Linked DNA regions of Oryctolagus cuniculus. The protein of the gene in region 3 binds, or shares a complex with, the protein of the main gene of each other region. Links are inferred from orthologs where the notes say so. Each region holds a gene or a part of one and is shown on either strand. Other genes may lie near its edges.

The links.
Region 1: CACNG1 (region 3) and CACNB1 share a complex: the UniProt entries of both Homo sapiens proteins name them as parts of the calcium channel complex. The link is inferred for Oryctolagus cuniculus from reciprocal best matches to the Homo sapiens genes CACNG1 and CACNB1.
Region 2: CACNG1 (region 3) and CACNA1C share a complex: the UniProt entries of both Homo sapiens proteins name them as parts of the calcium channel complex. The link is inferred for Oryctolagus cuniculus from reciprocal best matches to the Homo sapiens genes CACNG1 and CACNA1C.
Region 4: CACNG1 (region 3) and CACNB2 share a complex: the UniProt entries of both Homo sapiens proteins name them as parts of the calcium channel complex. The link is inferred for Oryctolagus cuniculus from reciprocal best matches to the Homo sapiens genes CACNG1 and CACNB2.

The regions. Positions count from the first base shown.
Region 1 is NC_091448.1:23,122,549-23,126,107, reverse strand, and holds part of CACNB1 (voltage-dependent L-type calcium channel subunit beta-1), read right to left. Parts: intron 3,364-3,559; coding exon 3,241-3,363; intron 2,874-3,240; coding exon 2,737-2,873; intron 2,543-2,736; coding exon 2,466-2,542; intron 2,089-2,465; coding exon 1,934-2,088; intron 1,202-1,933; coding exon of another isoform or gene 1,182-1,201; intron 931-1,181; coding exon 850-930; intron 426-849; coding exon 367-425; intron 258-366; coding exon 148-257; intron 6-147; coding exon 1-5. UniProt on the Homo sapiens protein: Regulatory subunit of L-type calcium channels. Regulates the activity of L-type calcium channels that contain CACNA1A as pore-forming subunit.
Region 2 is NC_091440.1:99,765,068-99,769,078, forward strand, and holds the start of CACNA1C (voltage-dependent L-type calcium channel subunit alpha-1C), read left to right. Parts: upstream 1-1,194; 5' UTR 1,195-1,385; coding exon 1,386-1,524; intron 1,525-4,011. UniProt on the Homo sapiens protein: Pore-forming, alpha-1C subunit of the voltage-gated calcium channel that gives rise to L-type calcium currents. Mediates influx of calcium ions into the cytoplasm, and thereby triggers calcium release from the sarcoplasm.
Region 3 is NC_091448.1:13,143,918-13,148,260, reverse strand, and holds the start of CACNG1 (voltage-dependent calcium channel gamma-1 subunit), read right to left. Parts: upstream 2,834-4,343; 5' UTR 2,693-2,833; coding exon 2,464-2,692; intron 1-2,463. UniProt on the Homo sapiens protein: Regulatory subunit of the voltage-gated calcium channel that gives rise to L-type calcium currents in skeletal muscle. Regulates channel inactivation kinetics.
Region 4 is NC_091444.1:44,290,172-44,294,470, reverse strand, and holds the start of CACNB2 (voltage-dependent L-type calcium channel subunit beta-2), read right to left. Parts: upstream 2,844-4,299; 5' UTR 2,579-2,843; coding exon 2,543-2,578; intron 1-2,542. UniProt on the Homo sapiens protein: Beta subunit of voltage-dependent calcium channels which contributes to the function of the calcium channel by increasing peak calcium current. Plays a role in shifting voltage dependencies of activation and inactivation of the channel.

The DNA.
Region 1 (3,559 bases), about 10 Mb from region 3:
CTCAGCTGGGCGGGGCGGTGGGGGGGACACGGGGAGGGGAGAATGTAAGGGCGCCTCCTCCCAGGAGGCAGGGAGCGGCGGGGGCGCTGCGGGAGCTGGTCCCGCCCACCCTGGCCACGCCTCCCGCGGCAGGCGGTGCGGGCTCACCCAGGCTGGAGCGTGTGTTGGAGCGCTCGATGATGATGTGCTTGCTGGGGTTGTTGAGGACTGAGCGCTTAGCCAGGGAGATGTCGGCTGTCACCCGCGTGATGGAGATCCTGGCGGCGGCGCGAGGGGCAGTCGGGCTCAGGGCGGCCAGCACGCCCCGCACACTCCCCAGGCTCCCTCAGTCCCAGGCTCCCCGGGCGCCAGCCCCCAGGGTCTCACCTGCCATCAAACCGATGCTTCAGGAAGTCAAACAAAGCTTTCTGCATCATGTCTGTCACCTGGGGGGGCGGGGCGTCAGGGGGAAGTCAGGCACTCAGAGCCACTCAGGAGCCAGCGCGGCGGAGGGGTGTCTGCACCCCACATTCCACTTCCCTCTGAAACCCCGCAGAGAAAGGGGCCTCTCCAGGGGCGGGGTGGGTTCCCTCCTGGGTCTGAGGGGCCACCAAGACACACTCTGGCTCCCGAGGCCTTCCAGGTGGCCTGTCTGGGAGGGCTCTTCTGGGTATCGCTTGGGGACTTGGGCTTCTCTGAGGGGGTCCTCCACGAGATAGGCCCCTTGAGGGTCTCCCTATAAGGTCTGCAGTCCCCCTGGGGGATGCTTGAGGTGGGGGGGGGGTCTCTCTGAGGTCTGAAGACCTTTCCAGGGAGGCTCTCTGGAGGTCTGGGCTCCAGCGGGCCCACCCCCGCTCCAGGGGCTCCTACCTCATAGCCCTTGAGCGACGGTCCCACCAGGATGATGGGCCTCATGGAAGGCACCACGTCATAGGGGGGCACGTGCTCTGTCTGGGGAAAGCAGGGTGGGGAGACCCCAGGGTGGAGACGGTGTTAGCCCCTCTCCCCCCAACTCCAGGCTCCCCCATGCATCCTTTCCTCCTTCTGGCCCCAAAGCCCAGATGTAGGGGTCAGGCGGGAGGGGGGGCCAGGGAGAACCAGGAAGAGTAGGGAAATGGCAGATGTGGGAACGGGTGTTAGAAGGTTCCCCCCCCGGCTCATCCTGGGGGCAAGGAGGGGACACAGAGAGCTGTGATACTCACCGACTTCTGCTTCTGTTTGGCTGGGTCCAGAGATTGCCAAGAGAGGGGAGGGGGAGGGGACCCAGGCAGGGGCAGAGGGCAAGAAGGAGCCGGGACAAGAGAGCGGGCAGACGAGGAGAGATAACAGGGCATGCGTGTTAGTGACAGACGGAGCCAGAGAGAGGGGACGGGACCCCATGCCACGCGGGAGCCAGAGATGGCGCTGGACCAGGGCTGGGAGCAGGACTGCCAGTCCGGCGGCCTTGGGAACATTCAGACACACCCTAACCCCTCTGGGTCTTGGACAAGACCTGGTGAGGGCGGCAGCCCCTAAATTGGTACCCACCTCCTGCCCCAAGGGTATGCCAACCTGCTTATTTAAGGGCTGCCTTAGTTGTCTTGCCCTGCAGCCAACAGACACCCTCCCCTATGTGCCCACTCATGGGGTCAGAACAGGACGAATAAAGAATGCCAGGGTAGGGCACACACAGGGAGGCTCCACTGGGAGTGAGGGCAAGGGCAGGTGTCACTACCACCAGACCCTGCTTTCCAGGGTGGGGCAGTTCGCCAAGGGCAGGAGCCATCCCTTCCTGGGGAGTAGCCCAGGGAGGGCTGTGTGTGCACGTGGACGTGCCCGTCTACCCCTCCCTCTGCCTCGGCGGGAGGCCCTGGACGAGGCTGTGCCACATCGGAACCCCTTCCACCCACCTCTGCCCCCCAGAGCTGGGCCCTGACCCCCTCCCGTCTTGCAAGAACTCAGCAGCGAGAATTACCTTCTTAAAGAAGGGGATGCGTGTGCCGTGGGGTGGCGGGGTGGTGACACTGCTAACGCTAGTCTTGGCAGAGCCGCTCTGCTCACCGAGCTCTGCCTCGTCCTCCTCTAAGTCTAAGGGCTCTAGTTCAAAGGCTAAGTTAGTCATCTCGTTACCTGGACCGGCGAGTCAGGAGAGAGGGGGGAGGGAGGCGAGGTGGGGAGGAGGGAGGTGGACGTGGAGACACAGAACGCAGGGATGGGGATGGGGAGAAGAAAGAAGAAGAGGTGAATGGAGTGGGGCTGGGGGAAATGGATGGGGGGTGGGGTGCAGGGAGGGCAGGCAGAGATGGAGCTACCAAAGACAGGGGGGAGCAGAGACACACAGGCCCAGCTTGTGGGGAGCCCACTCTTCACGGAGGGGGTGCCACTACACGTGTCTGGGGAACTAGGGTAGGGCTGACTCCTACTGCAGGGAGAGGGGGGTCAGGCGGTGGGAAGACCAACCCATCCAGGAACCCCTCCTCACCCCCTGGGGTCGCAGCAGCTCTTACCACTGGCAGGGGGTGTGGGGCGGCGCGTGCCAGTCACTACGTCACCCAGACTGGAGCTGGAGTTGTCGCCTGATTTGCTGTGTGGGCAGAGGCAAACGGAGCCCGTGAGCGAAGGGGTGGGCATGGGGGTTGGGGGGAGCTCGGCCTCCCACATACTGCTGGGGGGAGGGGCGCTCTGTGCCCTCAGGGGCGGGGGCAGCCCATCCCTTCGGGCCTAGCCCTGGCAGGCTGGGCCCTGCTGGGGCCAGGCGCGCCCACGCCCACCAGGCACCTGGAGCTGAGGCGGCTCTGACGCAGCTTCTGTTCCTGCAGCAGGCGCAGGCTGTCCAGTTTGACGGGGCTGGGGATGAAGCCAACCTCGCAGCCCTCCTTCACCAGCCGCCCAATCCACCAGTCATTGTTGTATTTCTGCAGGCAGCACAGTGGGCGGGCAGGAGAGAGCAAACAGAAACTGGAGGTGCAGGCAGCAGCCCCCCTCCCAGGGAAGCCACCCCAGACGTGCCCACCCCAGTTTCCAAGTGTGGCCGCCCATTCTCAGGATGATTCCGGGACCAGCATCCTCTCTGGCCATGGACTGCCTCTCCCTTAGCGCAGCCCCTAGGTGTTACCACCTCATTTACCAAGGAAAACTTAGAGGCTCAGAGAGGTGAGAGATTTATTTATCAAAAGTCACACAGCAGACTCTGCCCTGCTCTGCTTGGCTGAGAGGCCCTTCCCCCTGGAGCTCTAGCTGCCCCCTACCCATCCGCCCTCCTGATGCCAGTGACCTCCCCACCTCCTTGATGTGCAGGAAGTCCTTGGGCTCAAAGGTGATGGCCACTCCCTCCACAGGCACCTCATCCCCTGGAGATGGATTGTAGCCGACATTTGTCCGCACGGCAAATGCTACTGGCTTGGTCTGGAGGAGGCATGCGGGGAAGAATGGAACCAGGGGTTAAACCACGCGGGAATGGGATCACGCAGCGGTCTGCCTCGGCAAAGTGCACGCTGAGTGGGCTGTGCGTTTTTCCGTACAAAGGTGAATTTTTACAGCACAAAAGGAAGCAAAACTGGCATTCTGTCCTCTCGGTGTGGGGGAGGGCCCTGGGGGATGA
Region 2 (4,011 bases), on a different chromosome or scaffold from region 3:
CTGTTTGCTGTCCACCACTTCCAGCTCCGATTCCCTAGCAGAGTCCTACACGCTAACACGGATGCTCTTGTAGGACGTGCACATTGGACCACTTCAGAATTCTGCATCCGTGTGAACCTGTGTGCTGGCGGCTTTAACCTCAGCTACAATACCAGGAGCCTGCTCTGCTTTTCGGTGTTTGTGTGGTGTCTTTTTATTTTTGAAATATTTTTTTTGGTTACAGTGCAAACTTTCTTCCTTGGAGACCGAGTTTTCCAAAAGCATCAGAAGAGAAAGGTGGTAGCAAGGAGGAAAAAACCCACAGCACAGCTAAGAAACTGGAGGCCCCAAGGCAGGGAGGAGCCCAGCCAGTGGTGTCTCATCAGCAGAGTGTGTTAGTAGAAACAGTTTGGGTGGCATTTTTTTGAGGTGACACATTTGTGGCATTTACCCTAAGGTTCTCCTAAGGCGAGGATGACAAGGAAATTGCTGGCACAAATGGGAGAGCAGTCTCTCCATGTCGCTGCCGTGAGGTGACTCCATGGCAGTCAGGGAGGAAGCACCCACAATTTCCAGCCCTCGAACGGCCAAGCAGGGCCGAGAGGCTGCATTTGAGCAAGTATTTAAGACACTGTGGAGAGTGCTTTAGGACCCAACCATTTATCTCACAGATAGCATGGTTTTAGAATTAAAATGGGACCATTTTGAAATAACTGCTCTTATCCCAGTTGACGGTCCCTTTGAAAAAGTTTAAATTGTCAAGGAATGAAGCACATTTACCAGCAGTCCTGGCTCCTGAAAGGGGGCAACAAGATACAATGCAAAACTGAGCCTCATTTTTTCCCTCCCTAAAATAGTTTTGCAACTTGAGCTGCATTCCGCTGGGAAAGGGGCAGTGAATTCCATCAAAGTGCACCTTCCAGCTGCAGTTTTCGGCCCCTTGGGCCCAGGGGCTACCAGCCCCCGGTCAAGCCTATCGCCCTTGCACACAAGAGGGCATATCAGAGCAGCTCGTGGTGATATATAAAACCCAGAGCTCAGCATGCCGTAGGGAGGTGATGAGCTGACAGGCTGACAGGAACCACTACCTTCTCCTTTCAATCCAAGTTTTCCTGTAGAGTCACCAGGGGAGAGGCCTATCCCTGCACAGGCTTAGCAGGGAAGAGAAAGACAAGGCAGAGAAGAGCCAATAAGGAAAGTGTGGTTTTAGAATTCTAAAACGTAAAGTATTACTAAAACCTCAATTTGCAGCAATGCCATATGGCCATGTAAACTTTTGTGGCACTGAAATGACATTACAGGAATAGTTTCTTAGTCTTAAAAAGTTACAAGGAGAAAAGATCACCTGCAGGGTACTTGTTTAGCTTTAAAAATCACCCTGTTTTGTATACAACTGGAAACTGACAATGCTTCGAGCCCTTGTTCAGCCAGCTACGCCCGCATACCAGCCGCTGCCTAGCCACCTGTCTGCTGAAACGGAGAGTACATGTAAAGGTACTGTGGTGCATGAAGCTCAACTCAACCATTTCTACATCTCTCCTGGAGGTAAGATCCCCACCGTGGAGTAAGGAACAGGGAAGAGGAGGGTGAAATTTACTCAAAGTATTCTAGAAATACCAAGAAGGTGATTCCCCCACTCCAAGGACTCATCTCCTTGTACGTAAGCAGGACTTTCAGCAACACATTTGTGAAGTTTTGCCTAGAAGCCCAATGTCCTCATTTATGTCATTGTTTGGAAATTCTCGAAAAAAAAAAAAAAACAACTCTCAAATAAAAAATAAATTTAAAAACATTTAAACCATTTTTGAAGCAACAAGCAAGGATTATATGGCTTTTATATGGCAAAACACCAATCTTCTACTTTCCTTCTCATTCTGTGAGAAAGATGAAAGAAATCCAAATTTTTATATTAGATTTTGTATCTGAATTTTGTTGGTACACACAGACAAGATAGCAAGATAATTATATTCGATAATGATCTTTTCTAATTTTTTAAGTTCTTCAGTGGAAAAAATAGAAAGCTGGTCAATTTTAAGAGGTGGGTAAAGGGTCATTAGAGACAGTATCAGGTGTCATTAAAATTTTGATTTGAAATTGTTTCTTAGCATAGCACTTTAATTAAGTTTGGATGTTTTGGGGGGATTAATCATGTCTTATGTTTCTAATAAATTTATTTTTTATTTATGTTTCTAATAAATCTATTCAATTTGTTCAAGTCATTTATCATTTGTTCTGTATTTTATCCCAGTTACTTTTCAACTCTAATTCTTGAATGATAGCTTGTAGCCATTTAACAAGCATCTGTCTATGCTAATATTTATGCAAATTTGAAAAGATGGCATATATCCATAGTTTATAAGTGTATCAAAATCATAATTATATGAGTAAAATTTAAATGGGCCAGATATCTGATTTGGTGATGCTCTATTTTTTAAAATATGTAATTAATTCCTCAGCAGGGCAGAAATGTGTTTTTCTTAGCATCCATCAGGGAAAGTGGATAAGTTCTCTTTCCTAGGAAAACCACGGGAAACATGGCAGTGTTAAACTACACACATCTCTTCTGGGCATTTCAGGATAATCCAAATTTTACCAATTCCTTTCCTAATGTTTATCTCACAGCAGTAGAGTGACGATCTCAACGTAAGGATGGAGCGACTAGTCATACATTTAGCGTGAATACTTGTAAGGGGGCCAAACTCAGGAGTAATATTTGATTTCCTGTACTTTTTGTCTAGTTCAGGCTTTTGGAATGGTGACCACATTGATGTACACACAGCTACTGTACTCAGAAAGACTACCTAACACCTGCAAATTAGAAAGAGGGGCCCATGAGTGCACAGCTTCGTAAGCTTTGATCAATGAGGAGTCTACTCAACAAGGCTGACTTGGGGAGCGGAACTCATTTCTGCTGGTTCACTCTCTTCTCTGAAACAGACCCCTCCCTCAGACTTACAAATGAAATCCATGAAGCTTTCAAAAACTTTACAGATTTGACTGATTTCTAGACACGCTGAAAAAGATTGCAATTAGTCTTTTTTTCACACGGGGGCTCAGAAAGCAGGAAGGATGGAAGCAAGAGAGAGGACGAGGAGGTGGGACAAAGGCTAGCACGGGCAGTCCTCTGCAGCGCACATGCTGGAGCAGCTACTGTGCGGCGCCCGTAGATGGGGGAGCAGCAACTTCTGGCCAGCTCTCCGCTGACTGTGTGCTTTGCCCCATTTGGAATGTTTGCACGAAAAATGCTTGCCTTTGGCGTGCTTCTCAATGCTTTTAAAGTCATGTTCTTTCATTCAATCCACTGCCTTAGCTTTGCTGACCAAACACGGACACGTCTTGTAAAACGAAATCGCCACTGGCCACAGAGTCTACATAGCAGTGTTATCTTTGGCCCCTGGTCTGGTTCTTTTCATATGACATAGTTTTACTGCACCTCACAAATCAGTGATCCCATGGTCTGGGAACACTGCAAGGTTCTCAGTAGATGAGGAGCAGTTTCTATTTGATGGGTGACTAACACTTACAAACGTTTGGGGGAAAACAGTAGAAAATCTAAACAGTAAAAACTACCCTAATTTTTCTAGAATTGATCCTTAAAAAGTTAACGCAAAGAGAAACCTCTTAACTATGGCAGTATACCAATTTGTATTAAATTAACACATACTGTCCATCTGTTAATGAGACTTCATTAGCTTCAAAGTAAAAGATGGACTTAAACTTTAGCAAGTACTCATTCATGACACATGCATGCTATGTCAACAGACCTCCCTAATCCCCACAGCAACCACTGTCCTCTTCAACTGGGAATCCCCACTTCACCAAAGGTCAGGTGGAATCTTCTTCATTGTACACTAACTTCCTGATTTTATTTGTTTCAGAGAAAAGCACCTTTGTTCTAGAGAAGGAGATAGAACACAGTAAATAAACTTTAAAAAAAATTAGGAAGCATAAAAATCCATAGATAATAATAAATATAAATAAGAACAACACACTCTGGGTTTTTTTTGCTATTGAAATTTATACTTTCATTTT
Region 3 (4,343 bases):
GATAAGGCAGGGGTGAGAGCTTAGGACCTCAGGTCTCTCCTGAGCCTGTTGGCAGCACCGTGCATGCACAAGGCCTTCGAGGTGCCCAGGAATATGTTGGAACTTTCCAAAGCTGCCAACGGACATCATATCCTCCAGCGTTTGGGCTATCCCATTATTAGCACCAACTGTTTTGTGCTGTCTCAAGAAGCCATGATGTTACACAGTTGGCTCCAGTTGTTTTCAACAAATGCTCCCTGGGAGAAAGATTGGTGGCACTGGAGAGCTCAGAGCCAGGTCAGATAGAGGCGATTTGTAAGTGGGGACTTGCAGGGAGCCACAGGACAGGTCGCACAATGACCGCTCTGAAAACAGAGCCGTAAAAGAAAGCTGGCCATTTGTCCCCCTCAGTGGCTGTTGGGCTGCTATGTTGGTGATGACTGTGAGATGTTGAAGCCACGGCAGACCTGGGGAGGGTGCGTGGGAATGGGCAAGTCTCTGTTCCTCCTGAGCTTCCCTTGTTTTTCTGGAATTCTGTGAGATTTGGTTAATGTCCAGTGTCCTGTCAATTTTTGCCAGAATCCTCATGGCTTTTATGGGGAAGATTTGGGGGCAGGCATGCCTTACTCTGTCCTATTTTTCTGACGTCATTTCAAGTGAATTTAGGAAAAGCATTCACAACAATACATGCACACAGTGCTACGTTTGCGTGCCTTTGTTGTTGCTTTGGTTAATAACAAATAAATGAGAGATGTATGAACTCGCTCCAGAAAACGGTGGTCCCGAGGAGATTAAGGAAGGTAAAGGTACATTGGGAAGGAAGCAGACATCTGTTTGCAAAAGAGGAAAAAGGCCGGGGGGACATGCTTGGGAGGATTATTGGAGGGAAGGCAGTGCTGAGTGCCGCAAGTGCATGATTCACGCCTGGGGCGGGGGCGGCGTGGAGAGGCCAAAGAGATGGACGCTGCTCAGGCTCAAGGCCAAGTGTCGGTCCCCTGGGGCTGGCCTGGTCACCTCTGGCCAGTCTGTCTCTTCCTTGTGTGGACTCTGCCCGCTGCCCTGCTCATCGGCTCTGACTTTAAAAGGCAGATGGCTCCAAGGACAGCAGCTAGGACCATGACAGTGTCCCTGGAGGAGCCGCCTCGCCCTGCCCCGCCCTGCCCTGCCCAAGGGAGTTGGCTGGAGGAGGCGTGTGTTTACGGGCGTGCTCAGCGGTGGCCGAGGGCATGAGCATCTGCGCTATGCGATAGCCCATGAGCACATGCCCACGCCTGTCAAAGCTCCCAGCCCTGGACTCAGCGTTTCCAAGACAGCTGAGGATTTACGAGTCCTCTGCACGCCCCCCGGGGGCACGCGGGGCAGGGGATCCCTGGAGCAAGTGGCAGGGGGAGGAAAGGGCGGCATGGGGCTAGGGGCTGGGCAGACTGCAAGACCTCTGGGGGCTCAGCGCCACCCGCCTTAAAGGACGCCCTTTCTGAACACGCATGTCAGGTGGGACGGTGTCACTCACAGCCTGGCCGGCTGCCGCCTTGGAGGGACCTTGGTGAGCTCTGGGAGGGATCGTGTGTGGCTGAGACCAAGTCTCCTGTTTTATAGAAGAGGCAGCAGGAGGAGCTGAGCTGGGCTTTGTCTGCCCAGAAGCCTCCTCTAGGGAGCAGGCGGCTAGCGCGTGACTGGGGCCCAGGCCTCCGCTCCCCGCACAGCACCCGCTGCCCTGGCACACGCTCTGCTCACTGGAACTCCGTGGGCCCCACACGTGCAGAACCGACACTCTTCCCAGGGATCTGTCTTGCTCACGCCCCACGTCCTGGACCGAGGGCTCACCTGCAGCGTGTGGCTGGGTGACACTGTGGGACAGGGGACACTTTGGAATCTGAGAGAGCTGAGTTCAGGGGGCCCCTCCGGGAGGTCTGTGGGCTCCCACGAGCAGGCAGCCGGCTTGCATGCTGCCACATCCCACTTTCCAGGGGTGCAGCCTGCACAGTCACACCCACCCCAGAAGCGCCCCACACCCTGCGGCCGCCTACCTGAAACGCTTTGTCGCCGGAAACTAGGAGCCCTGCCTTTTCATTCTGCAGGAGGCACTGCAGACCCTGGAGCTGGCCCTGTTTGCACCCTTGCCTGGGCACTGAGCAATGAACCTGCCGGGCTGGGGGCACACGGCCACCCAGCCTGGGGACATGGGCTGTGACCCCTGCTGAGCCAGAGGCCCTGGTCTGGTGGACCTGCGTCTTCGTCCTGGGCCTCTTGTCCCATCTGTGCAGCTGTCTGCTCTGGGCGCATGGCCCCATGTTCTAATAGCTGGAAACGTAAGCCCTCCGTACATGGCCGTGCCATGCGCAGCTCTGTCTGCCCTGGGCAGGGAGGGCTGGGGTGCTGCTTGGACCCGAGGCAGAGAAACCTGCCTTTTTTCCCACGGGCACCTCTTCCGGGGCACCTGCGACAGGCAGGAGGCAGAGAGGGGACAGGGCATGGATACGTTACCCCCAGGCAGGGTGATGGGTCCGCAGCTCCTGTCCTCGCCCAGGGCGATGCGCTTGGTGCAAATCCGCCACAGGCCGAAGTGGGCGGCCTCGCAGGTGGTGTTGTGGTTCTCCATGTGGGGGCTCAGCACGGCCCAGTGGTCGCTCACCACGGCCGTCATGGCCAGCACGATGCCCACCAGGATGCAGAAGAGGGTCACGCGGACCTTTGGGGCTTCCGTCGGGGACATGGCGGCTGCAGAGGGGTGGGTGCTGCAGGTAGGGTCTGGCGGCGGCGCCTGCCCGTGCAGGTGGCGGCCCGGCTAGGGTGGTGGCCGTGGCTCCGGAGCTGGGGGTGGAAGCTAAGTTTAGTGTGCCCGGCTGAGCCAGAGTGGGCCGGCCTTGGGGCTGGGAGACGCGGGCTGGGGCTGAGCAGCTGCCAGACACGTCAGGGGCCTGAGCGAGGCTTCTATTAATGCCTCCAGCAGGGCCCAGGACGGCGTCTGCTCGGGTTTCAGCGCTTTCTTCCCCTCTTGGAGCCAGGGTGGGGCAGGAGGAGGCTTTACAGAGTGACTTGGAGTGGACGGGGGCGAGGGATGGGCCACCTCGTGTCGGGTGATGCACCTGCTCTGGCTGCAGAGGTCCTGCTAAGCCAGCACAGGGCCCCCGGGGAGGCCCTGCTGCTTCCTGGTCTCACACTGGGCAAGCCAGCTGCCAAGATGGGGTCCTCATCCCGGGGAGTCAGGGGACCCAGGGTCTTGCCTAGGGACAGCCCAGGGCCCTCTGCCCAGGGCCTCTGGAGCCCCCTCCCACGCAGTGCCTGAGCCCGCACAGGAGCCCAGCCCCACCGCCCAGGCCTGGGAATCTGCATGCATGTTCCTCAGCCAACTGTGACCTCACTATGAGAACACCTCTACCTCCTCACTTCTCTTCCTGTTCCTGTCCCTGTTCAGGGCTAGGGAACGTGTGCTGGAACAACCGCCCTTAGAGACAGAGAGAGGCCCGGAGAATACAGCTGGACTCAGCGGCACCACTGTTTCTATGGAACTGCTCTGAGCGCCGCCTCCTCTTCCAGGCAGGTCATAAAGATTCCTGGCTGTATTTTCACTTACAAAGTTAAATGCAGGCCGGCGCCACGGCTCACTAGGCTAATCTTCCGCCTGCGGCGCCGGCACCCCCGGTTCTAGTCCCGGTTGGGGCACCGGATTCTGTCCTGGTTTCAGCTCTTCCAGCAGACAGTGCGGCCCAGACAGTGGGGTGGTGTGATGTGCCAGCTCCCAGTGGGATGGCGTTTGGAGGCGGGCCTTTGGGGGGTGGTCTGGTAAGAGTGGTGGCTTGGGGCCCTGATGAGAGCCCAGAGAGCTCACTTGCTTCCTCTCTGCCATCTGCAAGCCAGGAAGAGAGCCCTCACCAGAACCTGACTGTGCTGGCTCCCGGCTTCCAGAACAGCACTTGGCTGTGGTGCCCTGGGCTGGCGGCATGGCGGGCGGTGGATCCAGGATGGCTGCGTCAGCATGTTCTTCACAGACCACTGGTGGATGGGTTTGCTCTGAGCTTCGGAGGCTGAGGTCACTGAGGCTGTGAGGCACTCACTCTAGGTCCTCCCAGAACCTTCACAGATGCTTATTGAGAGGTTTGATGGATGGACAGACGGACTGAAGGCGGAGGGCAGCTGGGGCTTGAATACTTTACTTTCCCAGGGACCTGCGAAACGGCAGGTGTTTGGCCTCGTGGTTAGGACACACTGGAGCGTGTGGTTTGGAGTGTCAGCCCCACTCCTGGCTCCAGATTCCTGGTGAAGTGCACCCTGGGAGGCGACAGGAGCTGGCTCAAGTAGTTGGGTCCCCGCCACCCATGTGGGAGACCTTACTCCTGGTTTCAGCCTGGCCCCACGCCAGTAGC
Region 4 (4,299 bases), on a different chromosome or scaffold from region 3:
CAAAAGGGGGGTGGGGGAGTCCCAAGGCAGCCCCCCTTCTCAGGAGATATTATGGCTGCCCTGGTCTACTCAGAGACAGTAGATGGTCTTGCCAAGTTCCACACAACCCTGAGACACTAGAAGTTAGAATGCTTCCTCCAATCACGGATGTCATCTGAACACAACTCAAGGAAAACTGCTTTCATTTTTAGAAAGCAGAGAAAGCAACGAGATAGATGTCCATACAGTTGAACATTTCTCCCTTACCTGCTTCACGAATCCCATGCCATTCTCCTCTCTCTCTCTCTCTGCTGTATGTGTAAAACCAGTCACTCCATCCTACGGGCTGATTTAAGATGCCTGGGGCACGGACCTGTTCTTGCCAAACTGTTGTACTCCTGTCCTTGCTGACAGCTCCACTTCTGACCTCCACAGACTCCCATCTGTCTTGAACATTCCCAGGTGGGTGTTGTCCCTGTGCTAGTGGTGGCTCCTGTTTGGAACACCTTCAGTTCCCAGTTGTTCAGTACACTTCAACGTCCAAGTGCTTTGCCCTCCTGATGTCCAACTACAACCCAGCATGTACCTTTTCTCCCACTCTTCTGAGCCAGGGATTCTAACTGCACAATTCCAACTTCTGTGTCTGTTCCATGTATGGCTTCCTAGCATCTCTCTCCAAACTGTTGAAATCTGACCCACCATTCAATCTCTTCAAGTGCCACCTCTAAGAAGCCCTGGCAGATTGCTCTAAAGAGTGTTTTTTGTGACCTTGACTCCTTTGCAATCATGATATTCAGCCCTTCCCTCCTAGTCCCATCCAATACCTTAGAATTGCTTTACCGGCTTCATACTTGCAGCTTTGGAATCTAAGTTCTTCAAAGGAATAAACTGCCTTCTCACATCAAAGTCATTTCCACATTGCACCATCACATGGGCACAGTATTTGTTGACTTATGTTAATTATGTAAATCACTAAGTAAATTAGTATTTCTTACCCTTTGCATCAGCCCTAACTGATCAGAGAATTCAAGAACTCTTTATCATAGGAATACATACTTTTCAAAAAAAAAAAATTCTTCAAGTAAGATCAAAGAGAAAACGAGGCTTTAAAAGTCCTTTCGTCTATGAATACTCTAGACTTTGATCCTGGAACCACCAAGGTCTCTAATACATTTTTCAATCTCATGGAACCTGACATGTGTCTGGATGAAATTGGAGTTGGAACAAGAGTGAATTGTGTTGGTCAGGAGTCCATCCTCCGGCAGAGGCTACCTGCCAAGTTTCACACAACCCTGAAACGCTGGGAGTTGACATCCATGACTGGGAGGGAGGCATTTTATCTGAACAATTCAGGGAAAACTGCTTTCATTTTTGGAAAGCAGAGAAAGCAAGGAGATAGATGTTGATTCAGCTGACTATTTCTGCCTCATCCACTTTATAAAATCCACGCCATTCTCCTCTCTCTGCTCTATGTATAAAACCAGTCACTGGTGAGTGCCCTGTCTCCGATCCACTGGAGGGCAAACAACCGAGGGCCGGTTTCACCACGGCCAGAGAAAGAGTTCTTGGTTTCTACGTTCTTCCCCCAGCTCAAAAAACAAAGTCAACGCTGTGTTTTAAGTTAGCGCGTTTATTTCCCAGCGGTAAAATAAAGTTCAGCCAAACTCCACTAGAACGCCCCTGGAAGTACCACTAGCATAGTACTCAAACCCCTACAACCAGCCCCTCTGCACGAAGCAGGAGAAACCCTGCCACCCTCGGGGGACTGTCCCTGCCCTGCTCAGCACTACCAAGTGAAAACTGTAGCATGCTCTCTCTGGCATGCATACACACACACACACACTCGAATAAAACACACACACACTTCACATCTTACCACGGCCTGTCATCTGGCAGATGTAGGCTCCAAATCAAGCCCACACCACGAAGCAAAGAAGACAGAGTTCTCTCCAGTGATGCTAGGAGCGGAACCCTCCCCTCCTTCCTAGCCCGCAGCGAGGAGGCTGAAGTCATTTCCCCGCCAGGATACAAGTTGAGCAACTCCTTACCGCGGAGACCCGGAGGTGTCTAATCCGCGCCGCACCTGCCAACGCCTTACGTCAACGCCACCTTATCATCTGCCCGAGGCCTACAACTAACATCTCCTATTTCACAACAGGCAGCAAAGGTGAATTTTTCCAGAAACCGCGAACACTCGCCGGCGAGAAAGAGGATCCCGGAGCGCTCTGAAAGGGCTAGTCTTTCAGGGCAAACGGAAAAATAAAAACTTTCTCGTGTCAGCTCGCTCTCTCGGGAAGGGAAAGGAGCGAGGGATGCAGGCGAACCTTGGCAAGTGCCTCGAGGGCATCAGAGAGCGGTCAGAAAGGCGCAACGCCCCAGGTGCGGAGGGTGGTCCCGGCTGCCCCCAGGACGCGGGGCGCAGCAGGGCGTCCCCCTCCCCCACCCCTAGCCATCACCACCCCACCCCCACCCCAGCCCGGCTCCAAGCCGGGCCGGAAGGGTCGGCGTCGGAGGAAGAGCTGCGGGAAGCGGAGCCCCCACCCGCCCGCCCGCCCGGACTCACGATCTTGAGCAGGTCCAGTCCACTCGCCTGGTTCATGTCTCTCCATGTGCCTCTCCCGGGCAGGAGCGACGAGAGCTGAGCAGAGCCGCCCGGGAGAAGCTGCGAGCCCGGCAGGTCGCCCCCGCCCCTTCCCACTTGCTTTTCGGAAGCAGAGAAAAATGGAAGCCGGAGAAGAGTCAGGGGGAAGCGCCAAGGGGCAGGGTCCCCGGCGCCGGGAGAGAAGTGGGTGGCGAACGGCGAGCAGAAGAGGAGGAGGAGGCGGCGGAGGAGGAGACGCAGGCACGAGCGAGCTGCGAGGCCGGCGAGCGAGGGAGAGGAGGCGCCGGGGAGACGGCGGCCCGCGCCCCGGCGGCTCACAAAGAAAGGAGAGGGCGCCGCGCTCTCGCTACCTGTGCGGCGGCTCCGAGCGCCCCCGCGGGAGCCGCGTTCTCCAGCAGTTCCATCTGCACCTCCTGCGCCACCGCCGCCGCCGCTGTGGGAGGCGACTTGGACATGTCGCTTTGGACCATTGGCGAAAAGTCGGCTGGAAGCACGCAGCCGGCCCCTGGGCGGCCGGTCCCCACCTCCTCCTCGCCCCCGCCCCTACTCCGCTGCGCTCCGGGGGCCGCCCGGGGCTCGGGCCCGGCCGCTCGGCGCAGCGTCCCTTAGCGCCCCGGGGGCTCGGCGCCGCGCCGCCCCGCTCTCAGTGCGCGGGACGGGGCCGGGCCATGGCGCGAGGCGGGAGGCGCGGGCGCGCGGCTGGGTGGCCGGAGGAGAGGGGCTCCCTGGGCGGCGCGCCGGGGCCGGCGGAGCGAGCGCAGAGCGGGCAGCCCCGAGCCGCGGGCGCCGGGGAAGGTCCTCGCCGGGAGGGCGGAGGCAGCTGGCGGAGCGCGAGCCAGGGGGAGGCGCGTCGGCGAGCGGGAGTGACAACCAGCCGCCGCGCCGAAAAGTTCCTCGCGGGAGGCGCGGGCCGCGTGGGCCCCGGCCGGGCCGCTGCGCGTCGCCGTGGCACGCACGCTGGAAAGTTCTCAAAGCCACGAAAGCCAGGCCCGGCGCCCGGGAGGTGCGTCTCTCGGGCTGCCCCGTTCGGTTCCGGTCGCTCCACCCCGGCTGCCCCGGAGCTCCAAGAGACGCGGGGCGGGCGCGAACAGGTCCCCAACTTCAGCGGAGAGGGCTGGGCTCTGACCTGTGAGGTGTCCCACCCGTCGGGGCCTGGGGCGGCCCAGCGAGCTAGGGTCTTTGCAGTACAGGGGGCGGCTGAGGGCGCTGGGCGATGTCAGGAGCGAGGAGCCAGACGGACGGCGAGGACGGATGAGCTGGGATCCCACCAGAACCCCCAGTTGAACTTTTTAACCAGGGCTGGAGCGACCACACCCTTAATGATTGATTGTGTTCATCTGTGTCAGTTAGCGCTCGGTCGCTCGCGAATTTGACTTTTCCTATAGGATTGGAAATCCTAAATCTTGGTATCACGTGGTGGACGAAGACATCACTCCCTTCAGGTCCCGAACTCTTGAAGAACGCGTAGTGACCACAGCAAAACTGTTGGACTTAGAATAATGCTCTCGCCTCGTCCTCATAAAGCACATTTTTATATTCTTGGGTGCATCACATTTCCACAAATTTGACTCCTGTGGAAGTCGCTAGAACAAGTTTGCCAGGCGGCCGTGTTACTTTGTAACCACAAAGATGTTAACCATTTTGTATACTGACTTATACATGCAGAATTGCTACAATGGGCGTCAGCTGCCTTTGATGCCGTGTTTTACTGTAAGGCA